Linked DNA regions of Mytilus edulis. The protein of the gene in region 2 interacts with the protein of the main gene of each other region in a pairwise test. Links are inferred from orthologs where the notes say so. Each region holds a gene or a part of one and is shown on either strand. Other genes may lie near its edges.

Region 1 (11,009 bases), on a different chromosome or scaffold from region 2:
GAACCCCAGGCCTGTTTTACTTAGTTTAATTGTCAAAAGCTTTTGATTTTGATGGAAACTTTGATATTAGTCCACTGATGAAACTTGTTGTAGATATATCTGTTTTCATGGATACCAATTTTTATATGACCCAAAAAAAATTTTGGGATTGTATAAAGGTATGATGTAGTCGTCTGCGTTGTCCGAAGACACATTGGTTTACGGATAATAACTTTAGTTTAAGTAAATAGATCTTTATGAAAATTTTCAGAAGGTTCAATACCACAAAAGGAAGGTTGAGATCGATTTTGGGGATGATGGTCCCAACCCTTTAGGAATTAGGGGCCCAAAACAAACATTTTTCTAGTTTCAGGATAATAACTTGTGTACAAGTATTTCAATTGCTCTGAAACTATACCACAATGTTTAAAACCACAAGTAGAAGGTTTGAATTCATTTAAGGGGTTATGGGGCCAAAGTTTAGGAATTAAGGGCCAAAAAGGGGCCAAAACAAGCATTTTTCTAGTTTCCAGACAATAACTTGTGTGTATTTGTATGGATCTCTCTGAAATTGTACCACAATGTACCATATAACAAAGGGGAGGCTGGGATTAAGTTTTGGGTTAATTGCCCAAAACATGTAGGAATTGGGGGCCAAAAAACTGGCCAAAGAAGCATGTTTCTCGTTTCGAAACAATCATAACAATAACTTGTATTTTAAGTGTATGGATCTCTCTGAAATTGTACAAGGTTCAATACTACAAAAGAAAGCATGGGATTGAGTTTAAGGGTTATTGCTCTAAGGGGGGTTTCAATAAGTTTTGGGGGGGGGGTTTGTTTACCATTTTTTAAGGGATTCCTTTTATTTTCAAAATTTTTCAAATTTCGAATTTTGAAAAGTTTCAAGAGGAAATCTTTAACTGCACAGATCTTGTTAGATCTTTGCCCACATTTATTTTGTGACAAAAAACCTTTATTATGTCAAAATTTTTATCACAATCCAAATTCAGACAGTATCAAGCTTAAATATTGTGTACAAATTTGCCCCAACTGTTCAGGGTTTGACCACTGGGGTCGTATAAAGCTGCACCCTGCGGAGCACCTGGTTGTGGATTGTAGAAAACTTACTTTTTTGCAGTTTTCGCAAAAGTCTGCTTATAACTGGATAGAACATTTGCAGTTCTTTGAACTTTTATATTCGTGATCACCTGTACCCACAAAAATTGGTATCCAACAGAAAATAATGAATCCACAGTACATGTATATGAAATAGTATACATGTAAATGAAATAGTATACATGTACCTAAATAGTTATCCATAATATATACATTGTAAATTTGTATGTTAAATAATGTTGGAAGATTTATAAATATTGTCTCTTCAGAACCAAAGCTCATTTTATCAAGAGATAAATATATATTCATGTACATTGTATATGAATTCAAAAATACAGAATCATGTTTCATGTAAATTATTTTTGATTTGTGGTCTATTTGACTGTATCAAGTATTCTACCCTACAATGTAGTTTACTTGAACTGTTTTTTTCACATCTTTTACCCTGAATCTATTTGGAGGTGTAGTCTTTGACGGACAAACAAAATCTTCATTAAGGGACAAATTTTTCTCTCCATTCTAGCCAATATCTAAGAAAAAATAATTTTTATCTATGTCTGATCAGATTCAGAGTAACTCTTATATTTGATATTTGTTTGGTTGTTTTATGTGCATGATGTGAAAAGTAAAATCATAAAAATACTAAACTCTGAGGAAAATTCAAAACCGAAAGTCCTTAAACAAATGGCAAAATCAAATGAAAAAAACACATCAAACGAATGGACAACAACTGTCATATTCCTGACTTGGTATAGGCATTTTCAAACGTAGAAAATGGTGGATTGAATGTTTTTTAGCGCTAAGCCTCTCATTTGTATGACAGTCACATCAAATTCCATCATATTTACAATGATGTGATGCGTGAACAAAACAGACATAATAAGTAAGCTAGTCAAAATATGGGTACAGCAGTCAATGAATTTCCAATGTTATAACTTTTTTAATTGATTTTGTTTAATATTATCACTTATTTAAACTTAATAAGATAGCAAAAAAGATAAAGTAGACTAATTATATGATATCAAATGCTATTTATGTAATATTTTTTGACAAGACGTTTGCAATTGACTGTCACAAACATTAAGGTTCAATCAGGAGACAGTTGTGGATGTCAATAGTAACCTTATTGAAGTTGGAAGTTGAAGCAGTGACTTATGATGTACACGTCCGTGTTCTTCCCAGGGCATTAAAGCACTGTGGTACCCTAGAGCTATCTTGGATGATTTTATAATAGAATGTATAGTGGCCATGGTGCTACTTTTTGTTGTTTTGAATATCCCGATATAAACATATTATAAACATATTATAAAATATAAAACATAAAACAGATAAGCAGATGCAGTGGTACATGTAGTAATGATTTTCTTTTAAGGGTAAAAAATATATTAAATTCATCTTCATATGATACTTGTATCAAAAATATTTGTTTAATCATGAGAGGAAAAATAAAAGATAGGAAAGTCACTTTTCTTTGTCCCTGTCCCCATCTTACACTGTTAACATTGAAAATTTGTTAAATAATTTGGTCAAAAACTAAAATAATGGTGCAAGTAACTTGCTAAATTCATGTTTTGAGTTAGGCAGAATCTACATTTGTATGTTCAAATGTATAACTATGAAGTTAAACTAAAATTGAGCAAAGAATACAATTTGTCGAGTCAATAATTTTTTTTCTTGCTTTGTACAGAATTATGTCAATCCTGGTAATGTACAATGTAATAGGACGATAAATGTGCTCAGTTGATACAAGGTTTTACAATTTTAAGCATACAAGCCATGTCAGCTTTTGAAAAGTATCAACCAGAGGTTTTCATGACTTAAGGACGCATTGTCTAGCCTCAGTGAGAACCCTGTATTAAATGTGTACCAGAACAATGACTTCTTTTAATTTATTAATGAATTTAAAGTGGTTTTGGGAGGAGGGGCAAAAATGTAATTTGAATTTTTAAGATGTTATTTTGGTGATTGATGGTCACTTAAGTTAGTGCACAGAGGTAGTATATTGACGGCGCAGGTTCAGAAATCAAGTATGATTCTTTCTTATAATTACATACACTTTTATTTATTTTTGTTATTGCATGAAACTCCATGATCTTATGTGATCATTGGTTATTCCAGCTCATGTTGTGATTGTTTAAATAATATGATCATATAATATGCAGACTTTAAATAACTTTTCCTAATCATGTTATTATTTTATCAAATATTGTCAAATACATTTAGTAGTAATATTCTATAAATTTGTTCTTGTCAGACAGAATAAAGATTATAGAATATTTATTAAAACAGGAGCTGATGTGTTAAAATTGTTTACATCAGTTTCCAGGAACTTCAGTTTGGTTAGGAGGTAGTCCAAATAATTATGACGTCTTGAAAGGCTATTATAATTTTTTTCTTTGACGTTGAAGTAAGGCGTCAAAGAAAAAAATTATAATAGCCTTTCAAGACGTCATAATTATTTGGACTAGTTAGGAGGTTTTAATTTACATCGAGTGTCCAGAACTCCAATATATTTTTACTAAAATTGAAGTGCCTACTGAGAATATTTAGTTTTTTTTCAATTAAAAATGTTATTTCATGAATTTTAGCACTAAATAAGTAGCATACTTCAAACATAATCATTTTACAGTAAAAACATAAAAGACTTACATACTCAACAAAAAACTTGTAAAATCTATTTATGTATTTCTTTTATTTTGAAATATTATCTATATGTATTTACACACTGTTCTTCTTTAAATGGGTGAAATGTAAATTTGGAAGCAAGCAGTTACTTCTGACACTGTCTAAGAAATGTTCTTCAGATTAATTATGGTAAAAAATGGAAATCCTGACCATGTCATTCATTACATTTTATGAATGAATCCATGTCAACCGAAACAAGTGAAGAATTTCATTGATCAGAATTCTCTCAATGGCAGTTGTATATGGAAAAGTTATATGTCTGTGCATTAATTTCTTATCTTAAGGAATACAGAATGGTAAATTCGAACTGATGGAACTTTTGTCTATGTAAAAATACATGTTGAAATCATAACCGCCTCCATGATCATGATGTGTGCAGCAAGAGCGAAGACGGTCGAAGAATTCATACATGATTTTACCGTTTCGAATAAAATGGCATAAATTTGAAAGATCCATACAATAACTTACTTCTGTTTAATATCTTCGGTCATCTTCCTTGATCCATTTCGAAGTTACAGTGTGTACATTTTGTACAAAACACTGGCTGATATTGTCTCAGATTTAGACAGGAAATGCTTTGGACAGCAATGTTATAAGTGCGCTACATCCGCATTAAAAATAGTTTCAAGACATACCATTATTGGCAAATCATATCAAAATCAATGATTATATTACATATTTTTCATATCATATACCAACTGTGGGATGAAATGTGCAATTATATGCAGTTAACTTTTCTTTTTCAAAATATATGCATTAATAGTAGCGGAATAATTTTAAAAGCCAACATGGCTACTCGATAGTTCAAGTACAGTGCAAGGGACTATTTCATTTGTAACTTTTTTTAAACCCTGTAACCTAATATCGGACAACTATATTTTTTTGTTATATTGTAAAAACTTAAAAACTAAGTGTCCTAATCGAAACTTGAAATCTTTCTTATGGCGAAATGTGCAAGATAATTTTTTAAGTTTATTCAGTTGCCACATTGATATTTCTTATGTAAATTATTTACTGACCATGTTGACCAATCAAAATTAAGATGTAAATTAATGTCAATCATCGAGTGTCAAGTGTATTACTATTGTCATACACGTGACGTCACGTAAATGATACTAGGACACGCCTATCAAACAATGTTTATTGTTTTGCAAATATTTATGAATGAATTTATCTGGCCGACATCGCGTGTAACGTTCATTCACATACATTGATTGATGACCAACACACGATCTTAGTTTCGTTAAAATTAGAATAAATTACAAAACGCACACATATTACCTTTATAGGTCATATTTTAGGACATGTGATTTTTGAAAGTTACTATTCAAAGGAAAATAACTTAATGAGGGAGATGGAGGTGTCCAATTCTGAATCTTGAAAGTGGGTCATGTCCGCTTCTCAATGATTACAATGATTACCATACAACATTTGGTTAGGTTATCTTCTTATATTTTCCCGTATCATAAAAAATGGACGGAATGCAGAAATAACCTTTGAAACTTCAACCAGTGATTACTGTCTAAGGCTATTAAATGATGACAGTGTTGGCAAATATATATGTAAAAATGAAACTTGAAATATAATGATATCGATGTGACCGCGGTATGATTGCAAATTAGACAGCTGACAATTTTCTAGTGGTCAGTCAATATTCTGCATCATTAATCCTGCAAAACTTAAACCTATTGTATTATAGTTGTTCTCATTCTGAATATGCATGGGATATTTGCCACTTGACATACAGCGAACAATAATCCAATTAATCAAAGAACAGTGATCAAAACTCCATACTGTATAGTTAGATATATATACATAAAAAAAAACCCGGATACGGACAAAGAGAGAAACCAGCGGCCTAATATACCACATCTTTAATAGCATAAAGTAAATCAACGACGTAAGAAAGAGGCATGGGATATTTTCCACTGGACATAAAGCTAGAAATAGTCAACCATATTGCATGCCAATCAAAGGACAGTAAACAAAATCTAATACCGTGTAGTAATTATACCAAAAAATGTTCCGGGTTAATGACAAAGAGAAAAAAATACCACATCTTTAATAGCAGACAGTAAAGCAACAACGTCATAAAGATGCATGGGATATTTGCCACTGGACATAAAGCTAGAAATAATCAACCAATCAAAGGACATAAGACAAAATCCCATAGCGTGTAGTAATTATACATTAAAAGGTCCCGGGATAAATACAAGGAGAAAAATCAGCGGCATAATTTATACAATACCTTTAATGACACTGGGGTAAAGCTGATGACCGTAACTGCATTCACGGTCATCCCAAGATGTCGGATGAAAAATTAGGTCAGTTTCTGTATTGTCTGTTAAAGTGTTTCTATATCATTTTCTTTAAAAATCATACATTGAAACGATGTAAATTTATAAAAGAATCACTCGAAAATCACTAATTACTTCCGAGAAATGTGCATGAAACGGGAAATTCGATTTGAAAAAATCGTTAAGATGACCGTAAATCATAATCAAAATATTTTCAAGATGACCGTAACATAAAACAAGGATGACCGTAATTGGTAAAAAGATGACCGTAACTTGTAAAGGATGATCGTAATTTGTAAAGACTGACTGTAATTTATATAGGACGACCATAACTTTTATAGGATGACCATCAATTCTAAGAAATATCCGTATTGTATTCAAAGCTTTTTTGTTGAGTTTGTCGATCTCAATAAGGGCTCGGTTAGCGGATATAAATATGTTTCATAAATTTCTTTTTAACCGGATTTTTGTGACAAAAATGTCGGTTATTGATTTGGGGATGTACGGCGGGCGGGCGGGCGGCGATCAAATGTTGTCCGTGCATTAACTCATGAACCGTTCAACCAAAGCTTTTAAAATTTTAATATAATGTTACTAACAACTAAATGAAGGCCAAGTTCAATAATGGCGATTTTGACTTTTACCGTTCAGGAGTTATGGTTCTTGAAAGATTGAAAAATGGAGTTTCCAGTCGTGTCCGTGTATTTACGCATGAAATGTTCTACCTAAGCTTCCCAAATTTTAATATGTTGTTACTGATGACAAAATGGAGGTCAAGTTCAATAATGACGATTTTGACTTTTACCGTTCAGGAGTTATGGTTCTTGAAAGATTGTGAAATGGCGTTTCCATTCACGTTGTTACATTTACTCATGAACCATTCAATCTAAGCTTTTCAAATTTTAAGATGTTGATACTGATGACAAAATTGATGTCAAATTTGATATTGACGATTTTCACTTTCACCATTCATCAGTAATGGTTCTTGTGATATTGCCAGGACACAAATAAATATTAATAAATCCGGTTTGCTGTCGTTGTGACAGCCTCTTGTTTTGAACTATAATATAATTAGCCATATTTAGGATTTATAACAATGATAGTAAATTGCATATTTCTCGTAAACAATGAAATATTTATTGATATCGACGTTAAGATTTTAACACAAATTGACAGCGATACGACGAAAATTTGAAGAAACATGAATGTGTCCCTAGTACACGGATGCCTCATCTACACTATCATTTTCTATGTTTAGTGGACTATGAAAATGGGATAAAACTGTAATTTGGCTTTAGAATTTAAAAGATCATACCATGGGGAAAATGTGTACTAAGTTTTAATTATTTTTAACTTGAAGCTGGACAAACGGACAAACAAACAGACGAACGGACGAAGGTACGCACAGACCAGAAAAACATAATGCCAATAAATGGAGCATTAAAAACATTAATAATACATACGAATATTTGGTAATCGAGCCCATGTGTATGGTTCCAGAGGAAGCAGATTAAAATCTTAATTTGACTTGATATATGCAGGCGGAAACACTTTTGAAATAGAACAAAAGAATCGAAGCTCTGTGTTTATCGAGAAAGCGATAAATGTTAACTGTAATGTTTGATATAGTAACAAAATTTTAAAAAGTTAATAGAAACAAATAAAACGACAATTTTCTTATCTTAAAAACACCATTTGCATAAGTTTTCAATATATCTATTACATAGTAATGCAAAACAATAAGATATCAAGTCGACGACATGGTTCTTATCGGGGCCTTTTATAGCTGACTATGCGGTATGGGCTTTGCTCATTGTTGAAGGCCTTACGGTTACCTATAGTTGTTAATGTTTGTGTCATTTTGGTCTTTTCTGGATAGTTGTCTCATTGGCAATAATACCACATCTTCTTTTTTTATATATAGTATCTAAAGTTGGATGTAGAAAATAACCTCCGATTTTTTTTTATCACGGACGGAGAACATATCAATCTTTTAGTTCAGAAATTTTCGTGTCTGCCCTTCCATTATGTGAATCAAGAAAAAATTCCCCAAAACAGGTAACGATTGTATCGAAAAGAGAAAAATCGAGTGCACCTTTTTTATGTTAAGGCATGTTTGGGGTGTATATTTTGTCTTTAAAACGTACAAAGCAAGAGTATTTTATATAGCATCTCGCTTCAGATTCTATCATTATTATATATCAAAGCTACAGGTTGACTTTATAACGTAAAAAAATGACAGTACGAAAAGATGAAATATATGGGTCAAGTGAGATACCTATCTAATGAATCACAAAAACAGAGAAGGTGTGTTCGAATAGCTATTTTTTCTAAAAGTACTTGACGACAGTCTTTTAATTTGGATGATGAAAATGGATATCTTCGAAAAAATTTGATTTTCTTGTGTGTGATAATTAGGGTTTATAATCTTCAACCACTGAAAATGTTTAGTCTGCCCTTCCACGAAATATTTAATTAGAATTTTTTTAAATGCTTAAGAATTTTCAAAAATTTCATCTGACATCCGAACAGACAATATTTTTAAGTTGAATCAATGCAGACAAGATCATTAACTAATGCTCATTAGCTAGTAGATACATTTGTCTTTTAAAATATAACTGACATAATGGTGCTATGTGGATAAATTTATCAGTTTTCAAGAGCAAAATTGGCAGAGCGTCATCCCTACAATGGCTTCCATTTCTACGATTGTGAGCATGAACTGGCGCAATGGAGAGATAATTTTGAAGAAGTAGAATCCTGACTGTATGAATAACATTTCTGTATATATACAAATTGACAACGTTCCGCCTTGTGATACGCTTTTCGTACAATACTATTTTAAGGATCTACTTTGCTGGAGCTCACCTTCACTAGTTTATTCGAATGATATTTTCAAAATATTTCTGTTATTTTATTTGCACGACAAAATGAAAGACTATATAATATCAATGGGTGTACATGCAATTTTTTGGCATTTTTAAAAATGTGTATTTATTATATGTCATTAAAAGGAATCCCAGAAACAAACAAAAATCTTTTGTCGAGCAGTTGAAGCTGTGCACCCCATTTTTTTTTATTATGCTTGTAAGGTGTCATTTTCGCGCTTTTGTGGCATGTTTTCTCTTCCTGTTCATTTGCATGTCTTTTGGCAATCATTTGATACAAAAAGATAGTTATATAATTACGGATATTTCTTAGAATTGAGGGTCATCCTTTAAAAGTTACGGTCATCATTTACAAATTACGGTCATCTTAATAGCAGTTACGGTCAGCCTTGTTATGAATCGCTGATTCTGTTACGGTCATCTCGATTGTGATTTACGGTCATCTTGGCGATTTTTTCAAATCGAATTTCCCGTTTCATGCACATTTCTCAGAAGTAATTAGTGATTTCCGAGTGATTCTTTTATAAATTTACATCGTTTCAATGTATGATTTGTAAAGAAAATGATATTGAAACACTTTAACAGACAATACAGAAACTGACCTAATTTTTCATCCGACATCTTGGGATGACCGTGAATGCAGTTACGGTCATCAGCTTTACCCCAGTGAATGACATACACACCGATAGTTGTACATTTCTGTGTCATTTAGTCGTCTGTGAAGAGTTGTCTCATTGGCAATTATCCCATATCTTCTCCTTTTTTTTTTCTTTTTTTTTTTTATAAATAACCAAAATCAGCCATTGGATTAAACATGCTAAACCCCCACTGTTTATTTAAATCTAGCCCGATTGTAATGACGCATTGCAGTCTGTCTGACAAATTTCTTGTCCATAACCTGTGACAGATCTAGAATATGGGCAGGATCTATTTAACGTTTCAAAGCACATGAGTTTACCCGGTCTTTTGCTGGGTTCGTGCTACTCGGACCGCTTTAGTTATTTATGTTGTTTCCTGTACACTGCTGTTTACCTTTTGGTCGTTTAACGTGTTTGGTATGGATTTTCCAGTTTTTCATCGACTTATGACGGTTTGAATATCCCTTTTGCATCTTCCGCCTATAATGTTATAGATAATGACGACACTGTAAAGCCGTCTATGGGTATATGATCGTATATATATATATAGAGAATGAAATTCAAAACAGTGTAGCTGTGGCCATTGATTGACACATTAAAATCATCCATTGACTGGGACAATTTAGGTGAACGTTTGTATGTAACGACCAATGCTCACTATGTACTTTTTAAAGACACTTAAACTATGGGGTCACCAAAGGTTCTCAACACCTAAATAAAGTAATTCGAAAATTTTTTTCAGAAATAGCACGATATTTTGATTTAAATCAAAACACAAAGGTTATTCCTGATTAATTTTTCGAATTATTTTATAATTAAAGGCGTTAAGAAACCTTTGGTGACCCCACAGTTTAAATGTCTATCGTAGGTACGTCGTGAACAGTGGTCGTTACAGACAAACGTTCACGTAAATTGTCCCAGTCAATGGATGATTTTAATGTGTCAATCAATGGCCACAGCTACACTGTTTTGAATTTCATTCTATATAAAAAAAAAGATTTGGTTTGATTGCCATTGATACAATAGGTCACCGTACGGCTTTCACTAATGAGCAAAGCACATACCGTGTAGTCAGCTATAAAAGGTCCCGAAATCACAAATGTAAAACAATTCAAACGAGAAAAATTATTTACAAAAAAATGAACGAAAAACAAATATGTAACAGATGGATCAACAAACGACAACCACTGAATTACAGGCTCCGGACTTTGGACAGGCACATACATATAGAATGTCGCGGGGTTAAACATGTTATAGTGGGACCCCCTAACCTGGGACAGTGGTGTAACAGTACAACATAAGAACGAACTATAAAAATAAGTTGAAAAAGACCTGACTCATCAGGTAGATACAAATAGAAATACAGATAACAAAAATATTTGGACGTGAACGGTTACTTGTACATC
Region 2 (11,528 bases):
ATACTGACCTGTCCCATTCCCTGGTTCATACATTGTAGAATTAGATACTGACCAGTCCAATTCCCCAGTTCATATTTTGTAGAATTAGATACTGACCTGTCCAATTCCCCTGTTCATATTTTGTAGAATTAGATACTGACCTGTCCAATTCCCCGGTTCATACTTTGCTCTACACATTCCATAACTTCAAAACAAATGTTTTCTCCTTCCTTGTCACAATCTAACCATAACACTAGGAAATCTACACCTCTGCCCTGTAAAGAAATTAAATCCTTATGATGTCATCTTTACCTACATTTTTAGATGAAATGATACAATGTAATTTATTTCTACATTCAATTTGATTGCCTTACTGGTTACAAGTCAGTGGCAGATCCTGGGGGTGGGGGTTCTGGGGGGTTGGAACCCCCTCATTTTTTTTGGCCGATCAATGCATTTGAATGGGAGCATATAGTTGGAACCCCCCTTTTTAAAATTGCTGGATCCGTGCCTGTAAGTTACATTTCTACACTGATTGCCTTACCTCTTTTGATAGAAAAGTCGGCATTCTTAACTTTTCTGTTGCTTCTTTTTTGTGTGTTGGTCCAGTAAACAGCTCACTCTGAAATTTACATTAAACATTTAACATATCTAAAAGTTCATTTACTGATAATGTAAAACCATCTAATGTTTGCGAATGATTTATTTTGCTGAATTTCCCGTCGAAAAATTATGCGAATATAAATCTTTGTGGATAAGTTAAACTTGGATCTCTCCTTACATTTGCCTTATTCATATTCATGTTTACAGTAAGTCATTAAGTTAACTAGAAACAACCATCACAATATGATAATATGATTTAAGATCTTTAATGTGTTGCACAAGTATTGTCAACAAAGGAATTCCATGACTGTAGTAAAGTTTAAACATATTATTTGCAAAAATTGTAAAATAAGGAATTACTTAGACATAAGTTAGTCCAACTTAGAAATTCTTCTATTAATATTCAAATCAAACACCTGTCATGCCTGTTATTTAAAATTTCTATGGAAATTTACCCAACATGACCAAAAGAACATCCCCATTAACATGATTTATCTATTTAGAATTCAATCATTCATCGTCATCAACATTTATGTTTTGACTTAAGTATAGCCTCACTGGACACAATTACAAACGATCTTTAAACTGTGATTAATATTTTATTTATGTAAACTACTTTTTTTGAATTGTTTATATCATAGAATTTAAGACATATGAAGGCTTTCCATTTTGCATCATATCCCATATAATTTTTTATTCACTTTAGGATAACTTTACTAAGATTGTGTGACCTTGTTTTACGGGTCAAGTGAGCCATATATATGGACGCAATTCCGAACAACACTTTATTACTTTATCTTGCAGAAGAAATCAATGACAACAGTCTGAATTGTTTTACATTGTCTTATCGGGGCCTATTATAGCTGACTATGCGGTATGGGCTTTGCTCATTGTTGAAGGCCGTACGGTGACCTATAGTTGTTAATGTCTGTGTCATTTTGGTCTTTTGTGGATAGTTGTCTCATTGGCAATCATACCACATCTTCTTTTTTAGATTGATAAAACATACATTTATCTTAATCTCAAACACATTTCCAGAGGATAATATGATGCACAATTTTAGATTTTACTTCAATTACTTCAGCAATGATTGCAGACGAAATGTCTGTCATGTGTAAAGGAAAGATTTTGGAATTGTTTTGTTTTTATTCAAGTTCCTCCTTTAAAGGAGCACTAAATTCAAGTTTCTCCATTTCGGTGGTGGACCTATCATTCATCTATGAATTTTTTTATAGGTTAACATTATTTTCGGAGTTCTCTGGACTTTTCAATAAGTTTGAGAGAAGCTCTACTGTGATAGTCCAGTTTGGTATATTTTAACCCTGTTATTGATTTCAAACTCATGTGATCACGCATGTGAACAGAATCAGTAGATGTTTTTCTTTCTATATATTATAGGGACGAAGTCCCCTATTACAGTAGAAAATTCAATAATATAAAAAAAAAATCAACAAAATTTCCCGAATTTTTCATTGTACTCAAAATCGTTCAAAAATTTTTTTGTCGCATTTTTGAATTTCGGGATCTGTGCAGAAATCTACTTCTGTTTCTGGTCTTGTTTGCATGAGACTTTGAATAAATTGTATATTTATCAGTCTAAGAAAGGAACTTAATACTAATTCATTTTTAAAAATTGTTTGTTGTAAAAAAAAAACATTACCTGATGACACTCAGCATTTCTTTGTTTACATTGAATAGGACGACAAACTTAAATAATGTCACAACATGTACAAGTGAAACTGCGAGCTACTGCTCACTGATGATACCCCCGCCGCAAGTGGATAATATTAATTGTGTAAAAATATGCAAGTGTTCGGTAAACAGGAAGTTGTCGAGTGATGAATCTGAAAACGCATCACACAGTATAGCTGACTTATATTAACCCTTAAACCAAATTTCAGAAATCCTTGTATTGTAGTTCCTGAGAAAAATGTGACGAAAAATTTTCAACTTGGCTATCATGTGTAAAATCAAACAAGTGTTCGGTAAACAGGAAGTTGTTGAGTGATGAATCTGAAAACGCATCACACGGTATAGTTGACTTATATCAAGCCTGAAACCAAATTTCAGAATCCTTGTAGTGTAGTTCCTGAGAAAAATGTGACGAAAAATATTCAAGGGATGAATTTTTCTCATTGCTAAGAGCCTTATGGTTACCTAAAGTTGTTAATGTCTGTGTAATTTGGTTTCTTGTGGAGAGTTAAATATTATATTGCATATACTGTACAGAAAAGAAATGTCATACACTCGCACATCAATATGTAAAAAAATGTGAAATATTTGCCACTGGACGTTAGGCAACCACCAATTAAATCAGCCTGATCAACAATAAAGGTAGACACATTTTCGTGCAGTTTGTATAAAGTAAAAGAAAAAGGTATTAACTAACAAATCAAGTCAAGTAGTTATTAAACTATTTACACATGTGCATGTCTGTTTCAAAACTAAAAGGAGATTTTAACTAGTCAAAAAGTATATTAAAAAGAAGGGAGACATGTACATTTCAAAACATTTAGATATCAATATGGCATTTAAACTGGTGTACAATGTATGCTTTGAAGTCAACTTGCCAAGTTAACAGAAGTATAGAATAGTAGAATGTTTATTCTTACAAAAATTGTTACATGAAAAGGCAGCAATACTTGCTGCTGTGAGTTTTTATCGTATATTTAGCAGTTCCTTACACTTAAACTATGGTTTAATCTCTTTACATTCGAGGTGAAAAGTGAGACTTATATTGCCATTTTCTATTAAATGATCATTAACAAAAATGATTAAATGTAAGTCCTTAATACACAATCCGTGAAAAGGAGAAACCATAAATTAACCGACAATCATAAAAAAATCAAAAAAAAATCAATGCAAGCTCATAATGTAAATTTCGAAAAACACACTTAGAAAACAATTTACCGACAACCCCAAAAAAAACCAACTCAATACATACCCAATTAATAATGAACACAAAAAGTAATAATTTTTTAATGATCTATAAAAATTATGAATATAAGACAAAGTTGATCATGATTAACGGTAAATAAACAAACAAATTAAGTTTTTTTTCTACTCATTAATTAATTTTATATTTTGTATTTTTGGAAAGATTGTGGACACTGTGGTGTAACAACTTCTTGTGTACCAGGTGTCAATTAAAACTCTTTTAAACAGGTTGTGATTTACCTGATCATCGAATAATTCAAGCCTAATATACGAATGTAGGACAGAAAGTCACAGGACAAAAAGTCACAGACAAAAAGTCACGGACAAAAAGTCACAGGACAAAAAGTCACAACTCATTTTTTCTGATTATTTTCTTTCAAAAAAAAAAGCTTATTTTTACAAAAACATTTTTGTATTTTTCTTGAAGTATTGTATACTAACCAACTTTGTAAGCAAAATTTATCAAAAAAATATCAAAGATGATCAAATAATTGCTAAGAAAACAAAATGTCAAAGTAGATTGGCACTTAAATGGCTTCATGGTGCCAAGAAATATGTCCTTTGCAGGATTAAAATTAAATAAATCTTCATTTTTAAAGTAAAATGATAAATATCATTTACTTTAATATGAATATATGTATTACAAAGTAAATATTTTAAGATATTTTTCTTATATATTCAAACAATTGTCTAAAAATTATTTGTGACTTTTTGTCCTGTGACTTTTTGTCCTATCAAATTTGTGACTTTATGTCCTGTGACTTTTTGTCCTGTGACTTTCTGTCCGTTTACCTAATATACATGTCACACTGTGAAATTATGTCTCTGACACAGGTGTATATTAAATAGAAACCCATTATGAAACTATCAAATAAAATGAACTCTAGATCTGATACAATTAATTAAGTGTCAACTATTTAATATGTTGTTTTTTTTAAATTCAATATCAAATTATGTCTCTTTTTCATTATACAAATAATACAAATCAAAATTAAAATGACATTGAAATAAATATTTATGCATGAACTCAAATTATTTAATTAATTATGTTAAATTTAACACTGAAACAGTTAATTTATGCTTAAACATTCACCCTTACTTCGAGTACTTTTAATACTTTGATAAAGACTCTATTACCCAAAGAGATCTCGCGAGGTTTACAACCCTGTTAGCTAAGCCTAAGGCTTAAATCATGAATGTCGGTTTTAAAAAAGCTCATTAGAGTTTCTATGTTTGTATACCTTGCCGACTCTTAATAAAGCTTATTTATAATGCATCTGAAACCTGAATAATTTACCGGGTCAACCTTATCCCAGCTATTGTACTTTCCAACAAAATCAAGACCATAAACATGACCACAAACAGACGTCATTTTGAAGAACACATTTTCTCCCGTTGGAGGAAAAACACCTCTGTATTCGTGGACAGAACAAGCTCCATTTGACCCTTTTCTACTGTTCATCTGACCATTGGATAAAAGCTTAGCAATCGACTGGGCTAAAGACGGTTTCTCTGCAACCATCAGAACGGTCTTCATGTTGACGTTTTAAATATACTGCACTGGCACTAGAAAAACCAAATATTTTTCAATTGTCAAGTGTCAAACTGATGGGCGCTGACATATTGAATTACAAAATAACGTGGCGAATCTCGTCTAGGACGACAGACCTAAAATAAAACTGACTTATCCGTGCAAGGATTATTCGCTCCGTGAAGCACAGGGGATTGTTTAGTGGGTCAGACGAGGTTTAACTGTCAATGGCGATCGCTATCCTATATAAAAATACTTGGTATTTTATATAGGATAGCGAACGCCATTGACAGTAAAACCTCGTCTGACCCACTAAACAAGCCCCTGTGCGTGAAGATAAGATAAACAGATGATTGAACGAACTTCTTCTTGCTAGAAAGCTAGAAATTCATGCTAGACATTCTATAAAAAGGCTTAAAAGCATATTTTGAACTTTGTAAAGTATTTGGTAATCAAAAACCAAAGATAAAAACATGTTTTTCATATTTTTGAACATAGAGTAAAGCCCATTTTATTATATGGTAGTGAGATATGGGGCTCGGAGTTACACAAGTTACATGAGCACTGAGGACAAATTATCATGGCTTGAAACATCCACTCAATTTTGAATTTTTTCATGCCATCTTGATAAAGATATTTACAAACTATTAGAATTTAAATCTAAGGAAACTGTTTTTTTCACAATCGAGATTAAAATATATCCAAATTTGTAAAACGATTTTTTTTCTGTTTTTAGAAACGGTAGTAAGAAAAATAAATTGCGTTTATATAAACTGTTTAACAAATCTCAATTTCAATTTGAACCATATTTAGATTTAAATAGGGATGAAAGACATATGATTACTAAATTTCGACTAACACACACATTAGCAATAGAAGCAGGAAGATACAAAAATATCAGATGTAAATTATAGAATAATATGTAGAATTTGTAAAAATAATCAGATTCCGAAAAAATCAAAAAAGTGAAAAGTATATTTCAACAAAACGCATTCGACTAACAGGTCGAACAACTGATGTTCTTAAACCCTGCTGGCTGCCATTGACGATTGCTAAATAAATTGATCACGAGATGTAACATGGATCTTAATTATTAATTTGATACCAAACAAAACATAATAAAAGAGGGACGAAAGATACCAGAGGGACAGTCAAACTCATAAATCGAAATAAACTGACAACGCCGTGGCTAAGGGAGCTACCATTGGATTTTTATGGGGGGGCTAGGATGAAAAATTTTGTCCTGCATTTTTTTTTAGTTGTAATCTCTGTCCTGCCTTTTTATTTTTCACTCTATTCGGTCCTGCCTTTTTTTTTTATTAGTTTATCCTGACTTTTTTTCCCAGAATTGTCATCCTGCATTTTTTTTTTGCAAAGTGTCTCATCCTGCCTTTTTTTTTTACTCACAACTCCTGTCCTGCCTATTTTTTTCAAATTTCATCCGAGCCCCCCCCATAAAAATCAAATGGTAGCTCCCTTAAAACTGAAAAGGACAAACAGACAAACAATAGTAAACATGACACAACATAGAACACTAAAGAATAAACTACACGAATCCCACCAAAATTTAGGGGTGATCTCAGGTGCTCCGGAAGGGTAAGCAGATCCTGCTCCACATGTGGCACTATGAGATAACAAATCCGGTAAATAGTCTAATTCGGTAGGTCACATTTATGAAAGGGAAGGGGATTGTAGTTACGACGTAAGGAACATATCCGATATCATTTGTGAAACGGTTATTCCATAACGGTCAACAAACTCGTGATGGCGTCCGTAAACTTGCGGAGAAGATGGTATACCGCAAACATGAGGTGCAAAAATTTGTACACCATATTCGGCATGATTTCGACAATTAATGTCTCCTCAGTGTCTACATCTACATCGTTGAAATGCAAAGTGTCTAAGACCCATCACGCAAGTATCAATTAGGTCATTCAATATGGTGCTCATTGAAAACATATTTACATGTGAAATTAAAATCAAATGTTTGTTGCGTGACTACTCTGTTAAATAAGATGTGAGGCTGTTCTTGAATGCCTCTGCATCTTCTATATTTAACGGTCTTATTGGTAGGGTATTCCAGTCTTTGATGGTACGTGAAAAGATGCTGTATTTTAAGGTGTTTGTTGAAGTTTGAAGGTTTCTAAATTTACTTTGGTGGTATTGCCGTGTTGTTCTGTCTTGTTGTTCTACATAATCTGGAATATTTATGGCTATCTTTTTATGTAAAGCTTTGTGAAACAAGCAAAGCCTTTTATATATTTTCCGTCTAGTTTCTAATGATGGTAGTTTTAGCTCCTTCAGTAGACTAGTAACTGACCAGGTTCTTTGCTGTATTGATGTTTGATGAAACGTGCTGATCTTCTTTGCACCATTTCTATCTGTTTGATGTGGTTTTCTTGATATGGATCCCATGCACTGCTTGCATATTCGACGTTTGGTCTGACAATGGCTTGATATGCTCTTTTCTTAATTTCTTCTGAGAATTTGCCGATGTTTCTCCTCAGAAAGCCTCATGATTTATTTTCTTTTACCGTGATGTTGTTGATGTGTATATATCCCATTTCAGGTTGTTGGTAAACTGAACTCCTAAATATGGGTTTTGACTTACATTTTCTAAAACTTGGCCATGCATGTGATAGTTATGTAATATAGTAGGTTTTTTCCTGTTGGTTATTCTTAGAACATAACATTTTGAGGCATTAAATTTCATCTGCCATTTAGATACCAAAGTCAATCAATTTATCCAGATCTTTTTTTAGTTGGTTACAGTCATCTTTGCAGTCTATTGCTAGGTATACTAGGCTATTTTCTGCAAAGAGACGCAACTTTCACTTGATGTCATCCCCAATATCATTGATGTACAAAAGAAACATAAATAGACCTAAAACTGTATCTTGGGGTACTCCCGATTTTACAAAGGCATTTGTAGATGTTTCGCCTTCAACTGATACACACTGATGTCGTTGTGTGAGCCAGGCCTTTATCCAATCTATTATTTTGCCATTTATTCCTTAGTGCTCTAGTTTCCGTAGAAGCCGTATGTGAGGCACTACATCAAATGCTAAATTGAAATCTAATATAAGCATATCCACTCGCAAGCTTTTGTCTCCCTTTTCAAAAAGTGTTGTGATGATAGCTGTAATCCACGGCCAATCGTTTGGGACAGCCCCTTCATCATATGTTTTCTTGAATAATGTTGTTATGTATATGGCGAGATACTTGTAGCACATTCCTTTGGGACTTTTTTCTGATTGACATTACTAAGTAGCTTTCTTACTCCTTCTACTGTTATCTCTAGATGGGTCTATATCAGGCGATGGGCTGCCATTTAATTTTGGTTGACTTGATGTATTTTCATCAGTATAAACAGATACAAATTAATGGTTAAGTGCTTCTGCTTTCCCTTTGCTGTCTTCCATTAGTTTTCCATTTGAAATAAGTGGTGCTACTCCACTGGAGTCTCTTTTATTTGATTTAACATATTGCCAAAACTTTTTTCCAACAACAGGTGTTTTTCTCTCACCCTCTTCGTCTACTTCAAATAGTTGTGATATGTAGTTTTGATGTGCTTCTTCTAATTTAGTTTTTACTGTTTTTCTCAGGATTAAATTCTTCCCAGTGTTTTCTTTATTGGTACGTTTTGCCTTGTTGTAAACCCTTTGTTCTTTTCCTGATCATTGTTTGATCTCTCGATTGATCCAAGGTACATTCTGGTTGACAGTATTTTAGTTGGGATATTTAATATTATAGCCTGTGTGTGACAATATATCTTTAAAACCATTCCAGCATTCTTGTATGGTACTTGTATTTGCTTTTTGTATAAAATTATTCAGCTCTTTATCTAGCTGTTTATTTATTCATGTCGCCCTTTTTGTAAATATATACTTTCCTTGGTACTTGCAGTACTTTTCAGTGATGTTAGGGATCGAAACGGTATTTGGAAGGCCATATAATTTACCTCAATTTAGTGTAGACTCTTTGAATTTTAAAGTTTTGAAATAGGATGAACGAATCATATAAATCCGAAGGAAAATATAATACATGCCCAAACGAAAAATATATAGTTAGAAACGGCAAGATTGTCAGTATTATAGAACTGGGTCACTGTACCTAATATATTATAAAATATACCAGCTGGATTTTATTGCTGGTCTTAATTGAATAATTTGATTTATCATTTTATTTGGTTTATTTGTATTATTTTACTTGTGCATTTTATTGAGCATCCATTTGTTGCAATGAAATCATATCTATACATGTAGTTGATATTATTTCTAATTCAGTCTGACAGTGACAGTCTAATGCTACATGTATGCATAAGAATAAAATATAAGATTTTTTAACTGTACGTGTTATTAAAAAAAAATCTCATTAATCTGATAAAACATTATACAGTATAACAAAGTTAATCACATAGTATAAGCTTCAAAAATCGAAATGTTAAATCAAACTGTTGTCTGCGCTTTAGTTTAAACATATTTATCGTCCCCTTCAGACGGGCTATCATCGTTTCTCAAGACCATACTCGCAAATGGTGTCAAAGCAGAGTCGAAAATTAAGTCCCTGAAATTGTCTCCCCTTTTCTGCTCTTTGGTCGGGTTGTTGTCTCTTTGAGTTCATGTGGAATATCCAGTATATTACTATAACTGAAAGAATATTTACAATCTTTTACATTTAATAACTACGTTAAAAGTTTCAATTGCCTTTGATTATTGTCTTTTAATTTAAAACTGCAGTAAAGGCATATTTGCTTCTTCAAGTCATTGAACTGTTGATATGAGCTTTAATTATCTTCATACTCACACCTTGGTACATTTTTTGGACTTTTTCTGTTTGTATCTTTATTTTCTTAGTATCAAAAAGTCATGCAACAGGACAGAAATTGAATTTGCTCCTAATATATGTATTGGTTATTCAATTAAGTTCCAGAAACGTAATGTTTTATGTTCCTGAGATGCCTTTTTGAGTATCAGAATTAGCTGGTAAGCAATGTCAATGAGGTATGAAGAAAGATATTATCAACAGCTTTCATATCTTAAATGATTTTAACTAAAGTAAATATAATTTATACATGAAAACATAGCTTTCAAGTTAACTGGAAGCATTATTAAAATGTATTACAACTTCACATTGGAAGTGTGGATTTAAAAAGAGGGACGAAAGATACCAAAGGGACAGTCAAACTCATAAATCGAAAATAAACTGAAAACGCCATGGTTAAAAATGAAAAAGACAAACAGACAAACAATAGTACACATGACACAACATAATGATGATCACAGAAGAAGGATGACAAGCCGAATATGGACGATAAAACCTAGTTGAACATATACGATTACATTCTATGCACATTTTTCTAGAGGAGTTATATTCTAATATTCTGTTTAATATCCCATAAATGATGCATCGAAGGCCGTACCTTGACATATAATGTTTTATAAATTGTTATTTGGATGGAGAGTTGTCTCATTGGCACTCATACCACATCTTCCTATATCTATTTATCCCTAAGTTTCCCCAAATATTTGAAAAACGCCATTTTGAAATGATACAAATGTTATGATGGCAGATATTCCCTCGTTGGAAGATTTATAAAATGATAATTAATAATTTAACGGAAATTTCCACCATAATAAGTTTAAATAGATTTTGCAAGTTCCAAAGCAAGATCGTCGGCTCTCCTAACTTTCCCAACGTCCTGCGTTTAATAATCTATTGATGAGCTGGCGAGCAACACTGTTTATGAATTGTGTATCCATGTATAGTTTTTCCAGTAAAAGTCAAATAACTTAATGTCGGATGTCCTTCTTAAAAATGAAAAAAAGAAAAAATCCAACGCATTAGTCTTCTGTTGGCATTTAGCCATATACCATTTTTTTTTATAAAACTAAGGAGATGTAGCATGACTGCCCGTACACACATCTTTTCATTAATACAACATGACGAAGATTTACACAATTATATATAGGTCACAGTTGGGCCATTAGCATTGAACAATCTAATTCCGTAAGGCAAAATGAGTCCAAGAAGAAAAAAAAAACAAAAAAAAAACCAACGGATTGATTTCTTGTAAAATAATTGAAGATACTAACCAACAACAGCTACTAGATAACAGGTTACTTGCTGGCGCGGACAAGAACGTGATTGCATTAAATATTACTGTTTGCGCAAATCACATAGACGTTAAAGAACATGTAAATGAGTTTATATTTCTAAATGTAACTTAAGGTGGCTCGGGCCTATTCGAAGTTTCTATCAGAAGTGCCATATTTTTTGTTATTTTATTCTTTACAGAAAGTGAATCAAATTGGTCGAAAAAAATAGGGGGTCACGGACCATTTAAGCTCAAAATTTTACTTTTAAACAGGTATGTAAAAGGGACCATTTTTCAATGAAATGATAGGGAAAGTAGAGGTGTTGACATATTTTTATCGGAATATCAAAAAACGTTCTATAACACTTGGTCCAAAACTGT

The links. The genes of interacting proteins can lie anywhere in the genome.
Region 1: the proteins of DNA topoisomerase 3-beta-1-like (region 2) and sprouty-related, EVH1 domain-containing protein 2-like interact in binary tests that used the Homo sapiens proteins (3 or more experiments, as listed by UniProt). The link is inferred for Mytilus edulis from reciprocal best matches to the Homo sapiens genes TOP3B and SPRED2.

What each region holds. Positions count from the first base shown.
Region 1 is NC_092346.1:68,032,818-68,043,826, forward strand, and holds the start of sprouty-related, EVH1 domain-containing protein 2-like, read right to left. Parts: upstream 4,403-11,009; 5' UTR 4,272-4,402; coding exon 4,249-4,271; intron 1-4,248. UniProt on the Homo sapiens protein: Negatively regulates Ras signaling pathways and downstream activation of MAP kinases. Recruits and translocates NF1 to the cell membrane, thereby enabling NF1-dependent hydrolysis of active GTP-bound Ras to inactive GDP-bound Ras.
Region 2 is NC_092350.1:350,083-361,610, reverse strand, and holds the start of DNA topoisomerase 3-beta-1-like, read right to left. Parts: upstream 5,176-11,528; 5' UTR 5,057-5,175; coding exon 4,817-5,056; intron 602-4,816; coding exon 524-601; intron 255-523; coding exon 141-254; intron 118-140; coding exon of another isoform or gene 97-117; intron 1-96. UniProt on the Homo sapiens protein: Releases the supercoiling and torsional tension of DNA introduced during the DNA replication and transcription by transiently cleaving and rejoining one strand of the DNA duplex.